Linked DNA regions of Caenorhabditis elegans. The protein of the gene in region 2 purifies or fractionates together with the protein of the main gene of each other region. This does not show direct contact. Each region holds a gene or a part of one and is shown on either strand. Other genes may lie near its edges.

What was found.
Region 1: the proteins of icpp-55 (region 2) and C01G10.7 fractionate together in Caenorhabditis elegans (co-fractionation; one large-scale study listed by BioGRID). This does not show direct contact.

What each region holds. Positions count from the first base shown.
Region 1 is NC_003283.11:15,084,114-15,087,655, reverse strand, and holds C01G10.7 (Citramalyl-CoA lyase, mitochondrial), read right to left. Parts: upstream 1,910-3,542; 5' UTR 1,906-1,909; coding exon 1,699-1,905; intron 1,653-1,698; coding exon 1,548-1,652; intron 1,492-1,547; coding exon 829-1,491; 3' UTR 738-828; downstream 1-737. Other genes in the region: C01G10.15 (FIP (Fungus-Induced Protein) Related), read left to right, coding at 360-422, 466-705; ahsa-1 (Activator of Hsp90 ATPase AHSA1-like N-terminal domain-containing protein), read left to right, coding at 2,283-2,362, 2,412-2,481, 2,530-3,276, 3,327-3,458.
Region 2 is NC_003279.8:367,951-375,652, forward strand, and holds icpp-55 (Aminopeptidase P N-terminal domain-containing protein), read right to left. Parts: upstream 5,496-7,702; coding exon 5,381-5,495; intron 4,764-5,380; coding exon 4,667-4,763; intron 3,724-4,666; coding exon 3,405-3,723; intron 2,812-3,404; coding exon 2,474-2,811; intron 1,297-2,473; coding exon 825-1,296; 3' UTR 551-824; downstream 1-550. Other genes in the region: R119.3 (DeHydrogenases, Short chain), read right to left, coding at 5,738-5,792.

The DNA.
Region 1 (3,542 bases), on a different chromosome or scaffold from region 2:
CTCACCCCCACCACTTTTCACTTTTTATACTGCTGCTCCGTGGGGGCTTTTCCCCCCCTACTCTTTTGGAAGGGCGTGGAGTGATAGTGGATGCCATTGGGGGCACTCAAAAGACAAACAATTGTCTCCTTGTTACCTCTCTCCTCTGGTCGAAAAGAAGCCGAAAAAGAGCAAAGTTAAGGATTAAAAGGAATGTGTAGTCTTTTGAGAGTTGGTAAACTGTTAGCCCTTCTCTTGAAAGAGAGAGAGATCAAAAGGGAGCCACGGAGGTGGAGCTTGATGTTGAGTAGGGTAAAAGTGTATAAAAGATTCGAGTAAAGAGGGGAAAACATAAACTTCGCTTTGATCTCTCCTAGAAAATGAGATTCCTTACACTGATCGCCACTCTTCTCGTGCTTTTCTCCACTGCCAACGCTTATTATGTAAGTTCCTATTGATTATCTGATTCCCATTTTTTTGTTTCAGCTCTACTATTACTACCCGAACAACGGTTACAACAACAATAACAATAACGGATACACGACTTATTACTACTACCCGAATAATAATAATAATAACAATAATGGTCAAACTTATTACTATTACGATAACAATGGATACAATAATGGTTGCTCCGGCTGCAGTAACAATAATGGATACACTTACTACTACCCGAGCAACAGCAATGGATACACTACTTATTACTTGACTTATGGAAAGAAGTGATTTGTCTGAATTTGAACAAATAAAGAAATTTTAAAATTACTCGTTTTTATTATATTACACTGGCAACTAGAGCTATATTTAAAAATGTACATAAAAAGTTTTACAACATTTAGAATTTAGAATTTAATTCTGAACTCTCTCCACGAGCTGAATAATATTCAATGCCTGCAGCAGAAGTGGTCGATCGATCATTTGTCCTCTAAACTGGAAAGCTCCTTTTCCTAATGCCTCGTGCTCACTGTAAGCGTGGACCAGCTCCTGAGCCCATTCGATTCGATCCTTCGGAGGCAGAAATTGCTCCTGGACCACAGACACTTGACTTGGATGAATGACTTGTTTTCCAGTGAAACCCCACTGCCACCCTTCTGCAGACTGACGACGGAGACCGTCAAGATCCTTGATATCTATGTAGACACTGTCGATTGCTTGAAGTTGGAATGCTTTACAGCAAGTCACAAATTTCTGTCGAGCGAATAGGGTTTCAGTGCCGTGAGAGCTTCGTGTAGCTCCGATATCTGCACAGAAATCGTCTGATCCAAAGACAACTGCATCTAGCTTGAAGAATCCGGCTTGTTTATGAAGATTTAGAGTTGATGAGACTATTCGTGGCATATCCAGAAGAGCTCGTGCAGATTCGATCCAGATAACAAGCCGAGTGTTCGTGTTTGTGATCCGTTCATCTCCGTAGTGTTCACGGAAGATGTTGTAGATGGTGACAAGGTCTTCAGGGCAGTCTACTTTCGGAATCATAAATGCTTGTGGCAACTTTTCAGCTTTCGATACTGCCTGAAATTAAAAAATTCGTGAGGATAAAGTTTGAAAAATTCAAAAATAAATCTTACAATGATATCATCTTCGAGAAGACCACTGCTTACAGAATTGACACGTAGACCAAGCTCCTGGCATGCCAATGTGTGATATGGCAGTTTATCAAGAGCCGCCGCAGCCTGAAAACTCAAATTGTAGACAAATTTCCAATTACTTTTCACGTACTCGAACTCTAGCATCAGCTTTAGCCGTCAGAGCAACGCCATCTTCTAGCTCCAAAACTACTGAATCCGCTTGCATCATTGGAACTTTATCCAGCATTTTTTGATTGCTGGCTGGAACGTATAGAAGTGCACGTCTTGGAACATACTTTGCTGCGTCCCGAACTCCGGCAAACTGTGAGATGTGCCTAATTATCGTTTTAGGAAGCATTTTTCTGAAATTGAAAAAATTAATTTATTTTAAAAAAATGTGTAACGTAAAATCTGAAAAAAAAAAACAAAAATAAATAACCAATTACGTGCGTAAATCCACACAAAAATTGCAATGCAAGCTCGCCCTATTGATAAGCGGTCGTGGCCTGCTGGCCTAGTTTCTTCCATTTTTCATGAATTTTCTCGAAATTAATTGAGTTTCTCCTGTTTTCAACGAAATTTCAAAGATTTCTTGTTTTGATTTCAACGTTAAATATTTATTTTCAAGTTTTAAATTGAAATTCCATTGTTTTAAGTACAAAACGACTTAATCTGGCTTGATGTTCACCTTAAAAATCTCGATAAACTGACTTAAATTAATTTCAGGGAATTTAAATGGCCAAGTGGGGAGAAGGAGATCCACGCTGGATTGTTGAAGAACGAGCCGATGCAACAAACGTAAACAATTGGCATTGGTGGGTCTCGATTGAAGTCATAGCTTTGAGCTGAATAAGTATGTTTTAGGTCGGAGAAGAATGCAACCCCGTGGTCTTTGAACCGACTCCGTGAACTTCTCACCGGATTTTCGTCCGAGGTATAATTAATAGTTGAACAAGATCGTATTAAGAGTATTCGTTTTCAGGATGGCCCAATTGTCGTGACAATCGATGAGATCAAAAAGATCGACGGAGAAGCAACGGCAAACAACCGGAAGGCTAAGCTCATCTTCCTTTTTGAATGGGTTATCGAAGGAACATTCATTGCTCGTGTTTCTGGCAGTGAAGACGAATATAAAGGAACTTTCGATATCCCAAACTTGAGTGATGAGAACGATGCATCCGAAGTGGATGTGAATTCGTCATTGAGTGGAAATGGCCCAATGGCTCATCAAATCCGCCAAGTTCTTAACAAATCGTTCATTGCAAAGATTCAAGATGTTATGGGAATCTATATCCGTGAATTGAAGGAAGAATTCAGCAAGGGTCTCATTCTGCCAACTGATAAAGTGAAGCCACAAGTCGTTACTACTGGAAAGACTTCAGTCGTTGACAAACGTCAGTTCCAAAACACTGTTGTCGCGGAAAAGGACGCTTCCACTTCTGGAAATGAAGTGTTCTCCACCAAAGAGGTTTCAACTTCCGATACCTACAAGGCCACACCGGATAGAGTTTTCGAGGCGCTCACAGAGACTCAATTCGTTCGTGGATGGACAAACAATTCGATCGGAGAGTGGAATTTCAAGGAAGGAGGATCATTTGCATTGTTCGGGGAAAACGTGACTGGAACATTCGAGAAGATTGAGCCGAACAAGGAGATTGTGAAGAAATGGCGACTGAAAAAGTATCCAAACAATCATCATGCAACCATCCATTTCCAGTTGAAAGATACTGTAAGTTTTAGAACAAACGAGGATAAACCTTCTATTATAATAAATTCTAGGGATCTGGAACGGATATCAAAATCATCGCTAAAGATGTTCCAACTCATCTCGCTGAAGAAACTCAACAAGGACTCGATCGTTACTACCTTTCAAGCATTGGTCGTACTTTCGGATTCAGCCAGCGAATGTGAAAAAATGAAAAATTGCAAATCTCCTGTTTTTGATGTTCTCCGATCTTCTAAACCGCTTTCTCAATTTATTTATTTTATATCAAT
Region 2 (7,702 bases):
CATATACAATAATATAATCTTATTGCATTTTCGCAATTCTCGTTCTCTCCACACACATACACACATCATCCCAAGTATTCCTGTGCTGAATCTCAGTTTGAATGATGTTTCATACCGTTTTTATCCCACTATTGCCTTATCGTTTCCTGTTTTATTATATTTTTCATTTTTTATATTGCCACCACCACCACCAACACCACCCTCTCTATCTTTTTTTGTTCTTTTGCCTCCAGCAACATCATCACCTAGTTTTCTGTGAATTTTGAATTTTGTGTTCCCCCGAGTCCCCTCTGATAGGAATGATAGGAAAAACAATGAAAATGCGAGTTTTTTCAAAAAAAAAAATACAAACTAGGAAACTATAGAAACAAAAAAAAAACATTTGAGGCGCAGTACCGAAATCTCTCCAAATTTGGCCCGAAAAATTCAAAAGAAAATATTTATTTTTCTAAATTATTATTTTTCCGCCACTCCAGCCTCATTCTCATTGGAGCGCGCAAAGTCATGTCGATTTACGAGATTAAGATTTTCAACGAGTTTCATCATTGTTATCGATTTTCGTGTAAAGTTAACTAATTTTTTTGAAAATTTTCGCAAAAAATTTTGGATAATAAAATGTTCAATTGGCACGAAAATGCAGATCTTCAGCAAAAAAACCGACAGAAATGTGTAAAACTGAATCTCGTAAATCCACATGGCATAACGCGCTCCAATGAGAATGTTTTTAGCGAAAAGTTTGAACAAAGGAATATCAAATCAGGGCCAAATTTGGAGCAATTTCTAAAATATTTTCTCAATTCTTTCGGTATTCCACATTCAAACAATTATTCGGCCGTTCCCATGAGCCTCTGAATCTCGATGGGATCCCTTGGCACTGCAGCAGTCAACAGCTCAATCCCTCCAGCTTCACTAGTCGCCACGTCATCCTCGATACGGTATCCAATGCCACGAAACTCTTTGACAGGCCAATCCATCGGAACATACACTCCCGGCTCAATGGTAAATGGCACATTCGGTGGTAGATCAATGTCTCGGGATACTGTCGGACAATCGTGAACATCCATTCCGAGATAATGACTGACGTGGTGGGGACACAGCTTCTCCGCCTGATGAATCATCTCCTTGTGATCCGTAGATCGAATCAGGCCGAGTTCGGTGAAACTTGCCGCGAGAAGTTCGTTCATTCGGCGGAACAGGGCGCTTAGGCGGACTTTTTCCATTGAGTGGGCGTAGGTGAGCAGTTCTTCGTGAACGTAGAGAAGCGCTTCGTAGAGGGATAGTTGGGCGTCTGACCAGCTGCAAAAACGAATTTTTTTTTGGGAAGGTTTTTTGAAACGATTTTTCAAATTTCGTTCGAATTATATTAAACTTTATATAAAACGATTATCCACGGATTTCTGGCTTCCCTCATAAATTGGAATGGAAGAGTTTACCGAACTAGGCCATTTTGGCTCGGCCATATCTGGTGCCGCGTCGCGGCTCGATTTTAGTTGTAAAACTAAATGCATTTGTACGTGTGGAGTACACGACTTTCCCACGCGTTGTCCGGCGGGCGATTGTCAATGGAGCGCAAAAAATTCACTGAGGAAGGGGAGAACTCCGTGATTAGCACCGCCTATTTCTCTCACGAATCTATTTCTTCGAAATCTTCTATTTTTTAAAAATCAATTCCTGAATTCTGAAATTCATTATAGCGTAATTTTTTGGGAATTTCACCCTGAATTCCATTTCTACGGAACAACATTTTTTTCTCGAATTTGTGGTGACTCAAATTAGAATTTTCAAAATCTCCAGAAAAAAAATCATTTTTCCTGAATTTTCTGGAGATTTTTAAAGGAATAAAGTGCAAAAAAGACTCTTTTTGAGGCACCACCGAAAGGAGAAAGGAGAACACAAACCACGCCCATTTTTCCGTGCCGCGCGCAAGTTTTTCTGCAAATTTTTATTTTCAAACGAGACAGCGAAACTCCGAAATAACGCATATCGTGTTCTTTATCATCAACGTGTTATTTCGGAGCTTCGTTGTCTCGTTTGAAAATAAAAATTTGCAGAAAAACTTGCGCGCGGCACGGAAAAAATGGGCGTGGTTTCTGTTCTCCTTTTTCACCTGTTCTCCTTTCGGTGGTGCCTCTTCTTTTTTTTTTCTATGTTTAGCGTAATTTTTTAGCCATCTTGGAATAGCCCCGCCCATTTCTCCCACAAATCCATATCTACGAAATCTCGCATTCCAGAATGATTTGTGGTGTCTCAAACGGGAATATTCAAAATTTCTAGAAAAACCCCATTTTTCTTGAATTTTGGCCGAACTTCTGTAATTTCTGAAATTCTGAGAAAAATTTTCATTTGAGTCACCACAAATACTGGAATGCAAGATTTCGTAGAAATAGACTTGTGGGCGAAATCAGCAAAAAATGGGAAAACATTCAATTTTTTTTAATTTTTTGGGGTTTTATCACTAATTTTTAGCACTTACAATCCAGAAATCGGAAAGCAACGTGTCACATCTGACACATAACCATTCAAATCACACCCAGCATCCACGAGAACACATTCCCGGGGATTTAGGTCATTATTTGCGTCCAAATAGTGAATAGTGTTGGCACGAACACCACCGGCAATCACTGGTGGATATGCTTGCATTTCTGATCCACGACGACGTCCTTCAAACTCCAAGAGCCCGCAAATCGCGTTCTCGTTGTGTAGATCACGTGATCCCGATATCATTGAGCTCATTGTCTGGGCTCCCACGTTGCACACGTCACGCATTGAGCTCATTTCGGATGGAGATTTTATTACTCGGCGACGTTCGATCTGCAAGGAAAACTTGAAAATTGGCAAAAAAATAATTTTTTTTTTGAAATTTTAAAACGATTTTTCGGGTGTTCAGAAAAATTTTTTTTAGGAAAAAATTGGAATTTTCCAAAAGTTTCAAAAAAATAATTTCTAGAACTTTTTCCTAAAAAAAAAATGAATATTGAAAGCTTCGAAAACAGTAAAAATTGGGAAAATTTTTTTACCGTTAAAAAATTTTTTTTTTTCGAAAAAAAAATTTTCAGTTTAAAATTTGGAGCGTTTTCAATTTTATTGATAATTGGTGAAACAAAATAAAAAGTAAATAAAAAATTTTTTTTTTGAAAAATTTGAAAAATTAGATTAAAAATGTTTATTCTGGGATGAAAAAAACCTCCTAAAACCATTTTCTGGAAAATTTAAACTTCCTATTTTGTTCAGACAATTCTTTTTTTTCAAGAAAAAATCAAATTTTCCACTAGAAAATCGAAAAAAATTGACCTCGTTTAAAAATTGGACAAAATTTGAATTTTTACTTTGAAATCCTCGAAAATCGGATTTTTTTTTCAAAGCTTGAACAATTTTCTGCAAATTCTATATATCTCTAAACTCACAAAATGATTAATTTCCCGAACAGAATTAGCTTTAGCCTGTACAAACTTATAGAGTAAATCATCAGAAGTCGAATCAAAAAACACTGCAGTTCCCTTATCGCAAACTTTTTCCAAAGTCTGTAGAATCCGGCTAGTCGGCACACATTCCGTGAATTTTGCAGTCTTTTCCCATTCGGATTCAGTTGGTAGGGCGCCTTCCCATAGCTCATCATAGGCACTACGACGGTCAGCAAAAAGAATATTTGTTTCTTTTGAAGATTCGGATATTCCTGATTGCATTATGTAATAACAATCTGGTGTGGTGATTCCGTTTAGGTATCTGCAAAAAAAAAAAATTTTTCAAATTTTTTTCTGTTAAAAATTTAATTTATTTTTTTTATCAAACAATTTTGAATTTTTCCCAAAAAAAATCCGAAAATTGTGAACAAATCTATTATTTTCGTTGAACAAAAAAAAAACAAATTCAATTTTTAAATAATTTAATTTTCGTTCAGAAAAAGAAATTTGTCGATTTTCGGCGGCAATGATTTTTTTTAACGAAATTTTCCTGAAAAATTCAATATTTCAATAATTCCTGATTTTCTAGTTTTTTTTTTAAAGAAGAACATGTTAAATTTCTACTAATTTTATAACAAAAAATTTCGGGAAAATCTAGAATTAAAAAAAAATGTTTTCAGAAAAATTCTACTAATATATTAATTTTAGCTTAAATTTCGATAATTTTAGGTTATTTTTCAATTTTTTTAGGGCGAAATTTTGATTTTCAAAACAAAAATATTTTCTGACAAAAAAATTAATTTTCATTCTTTTTTAGATTTTTTGAAAAATTTTCAATTTTTTTCTGAAGAATTTGGTACTTGTGTATTACATGCCCTCATTTTTAAATTAAATTAAATGTTCATTAATTTCTCCATTTAAATTAAACGTGATATACATTTTCTCTTTTTAGGCTTAGAAATTGCTATTTTGCTACTTAAAAAATTACTATTAAAATGAGGGCATGTAATACACAAGTACCAAGAATTTCAATCAATTCTTGTTTTTGAAATTTTTTTTGGGAAAAATTCCAATTTTCGATTGTTTCTTCGATTTTTTCAGAAAAAAAATTTTCTAAAATTTATTTATTTGTTTGAAAATTGGATCTAAAAAAATTTCTCTAGTTTTTATTTTTTTTCTGGAAAAAGCTTTTTTTAACTTAAAAAGTTAATCTGTGGCCGAGTTTTCTCTCATCATTTTCACGGCCACGGCCATCAAAACCGAACCTGAAATGGCTTTTCTGTCGGAACGCGTGTGGAACATCCGGTGCAATATATGATTTCCGTGCTCCTTTCATCACAACGACCACTTGCTTTTCTGAAACTTTGAGAGGTCATGGCCTAACTTTTAAATGGTTTTCTAGGCCACCATGGTGATTTTATTACGGTACCGGGTCTCGACACGATGAATTTTGTAGAATAAATTTTTCTGAAAAATTTCGTTTTTTTTTTTAGAAAAATCAAATTTTCAAGAAAAATGGGAAAACATTTTTCAGGAAAAATTTAATTTTATAGAGAAAAATAGAATTTTTCCTTTAAAAAAATCTGAAAATTCGGATTTTTGAGAATTCTCTTTATTTGGATTTTAAAATCCAAATTTTCAAAAAAAAATTTAAAAATCGGAAAATTCCAAATTTTTGAGAGTAAACTCGCCTTAATTTTTTTTTTCAATTAAAAAAATTAATTTTTTAAAAGAAAATTGGAATTTTTACCCAAAAATTGGCAATTATTCGAGTTTTCAACGGAAAAATCTGAAAAATCCGAATTTTTGAAAAAAAAATCTTTAAAAATCCCAATATTCAATTAAAAACCGCGAAATTTCGGATTTTTGAGAAAATTTTAATTTAAAAAAGTCCTATTTGTACTGCAAATCCTCATTTCCAAATGATGGCCTAACTTTTTCAGAATTCTAGGCCACCAGGCCATTTCTCTGCCTCTTACCCCCAGTTTTGACCTCTTTTTTGAGTAAATTCATCAAATTCGTCCTTCTCATCGCATATTCCTCATTTGGAATTCGCGATGGCCACATTGGTAGGCTCCGCCCACTTCTGAGCATTTTTTTTTTGGATCTGATCTGTGTGGGAGGGAAATTCGAATTTTTTTAGAAATGAATAAAACTGAAAAAAATAGATTTTTTGGGAAACAGGGAACCTGAATTTTCGAGAGAAAAAAGGAGGTAAAACAAAAAATTCGATTTTATATTGAGCAAAAATTAATAGAAAAAATAAACTTAACAATTATGAACAGAAAAACCTACTAAAAAAGTCTAAAAAATGAATGAAAAATTGCAAAAAAAATCTACAATCGATACGAGACTCCTCCTCCAACAATGCAGTTCTCGCCGGTGATGTACCTGAAAAAAAGTGATTTTTTTTTGAATTTTTAGAAAACAAAATTATGAAAAAAACCAAAAAATTTCCGAATAATCGAAATTTTTCGGAAGTTTTAGGTTAAAAAAATTTTTTTTTGATGAAAAGTTTTTTTTCAACAATTCTGAAAACTAAAAGTACCAAAAAATTTTAGTTTTTTCGATTGTTTCAATATGATAATTTTTTTTAAATGTTTAAAATTGTATTTTTTCAAAAAATATTATCAATTTTCCAATTTTATGGTAATTTTGGATGTGAGATTTTTTTCTTCAAATTTTCGAAACGTTTCTCGATAAAAAAATTTTTCAACTGAAAAACTACAAAAAATCCTCTTATTTTGAAGAAAAATCGATATTTTCTCAAATTGTTCAGATTTTTTCTGTTTTTACCAAAAGTGACCAAATTTTGAGACTTTTCGATCCAATGTTTAAAATTTTTTTCCCGTTTTTTCGATATTTGCGGTTTAAATTTTTTTTAAATTTTTTGATTCAATTTTAATAAGTTTGAGTGTTTTTCGATTTTTTGTCCAAATTTTTTCAAATTTTTTTCCAGAAAATTGGTAGAAGCCAAAAAGTGCGATTTTTTTCCTTAAAAAAGATAATTATTCAGTTTTTCGACTGTTTTCTTCTTGCTTCCAGATTTTTTCTCGAATTTTTTTTATATTTGAATTGTATTTTTAAATATTATACTCCTAATCGATAAAAATTAGTTTTTTTTTCAATTTAAATTGGAAAAGAACGTTCTTTTTCGTAAATTTTAGTGATTTTTGATTCCAAATTTTTGGATTTTTTCAAAAAATTTCCCAGAAAATTTTACCTGGCTTTGGTAGAAGCCAGAAATTCGATTAAATAAGCTTTTTTGGGTTTTTCGACAATTTGTCAAGTTAGGAATTAAACTTTTAAAATTTTTTTCAAAAATTTTAAAAAACTAAAAGTATTTCTGAGAATTTTTCTGAAATTAATTATTCAGTTTTTCGACTGATTTCTGCTTGCTTCCAGATTTTTTCTCGAAGTTTTTATATTTGATTTTTTTAAAAAATACTCTTAATCGAAAAAAATTCATTTTTTGAATTTTTTCGGGACTTTTTTTTTCGAAATTTTCGTAAGTGTTAGTGTTTTTCGATTTTTGATTCTAAATTATTGGATTTCTTCAAAAAATTTTTTCAGAAAATTCTACCTGGCTCTGGTAGAAGCCAGAAATTCGATTGAAGAAGCTTTTTTTTCGGTTTTTTGGACAATTTTCCAAGTTTTAGTTAGGAGTTAAACTTTTTCAAATTTTTTTTGAATTTTTTTCAAAAACTTTAAAAACTAAAAGTATTTCTGAGAATTTTTGAGAAAAGCATTTTTTTTCTCGAATATTTGAACTTTTTAAATTTTTAAAGCTTTTTATTTTTAAATATCAATTCGAATATTTTACTCTTAATCAATGAAAAATCGATTTTTTTGATAATTTTTTTCAAAAAAAAATTCGAATTTGAAATTTTTTTCATTCAGAAAAGGGAATTTGACTATTTGAAAACAATTTTTTGTTGAATTTTTCGTAAATTTGAGTGATTTTCGATTTTTGATTCCAAATTTTTGGATTTTTTTTTGACAATTTTCCAAGTTTTGGTTAGGAGTTAGATTTCTTGGAATTTTTTTTTGAATTTTTTTCAAAAATTTTAAAAACTAAAAGAATTTCTGAGATTTTTTCCTTAAAAAAGAGGAATTTTTTAGTTTTTCGACAGATTTCTGCTTGCTTCCAGATTTTTTCTCCAAGTTTTTATATTTAAATCTTTAAAATTTATATTTTTAAATAATATTTCAGATATTATACTCCTAATCGATAAAAATTCGTTTTTTTTTCAAATTTTAATTGAAAAAAATCGATTTTTTCGATAATTTTTTAATTTTTT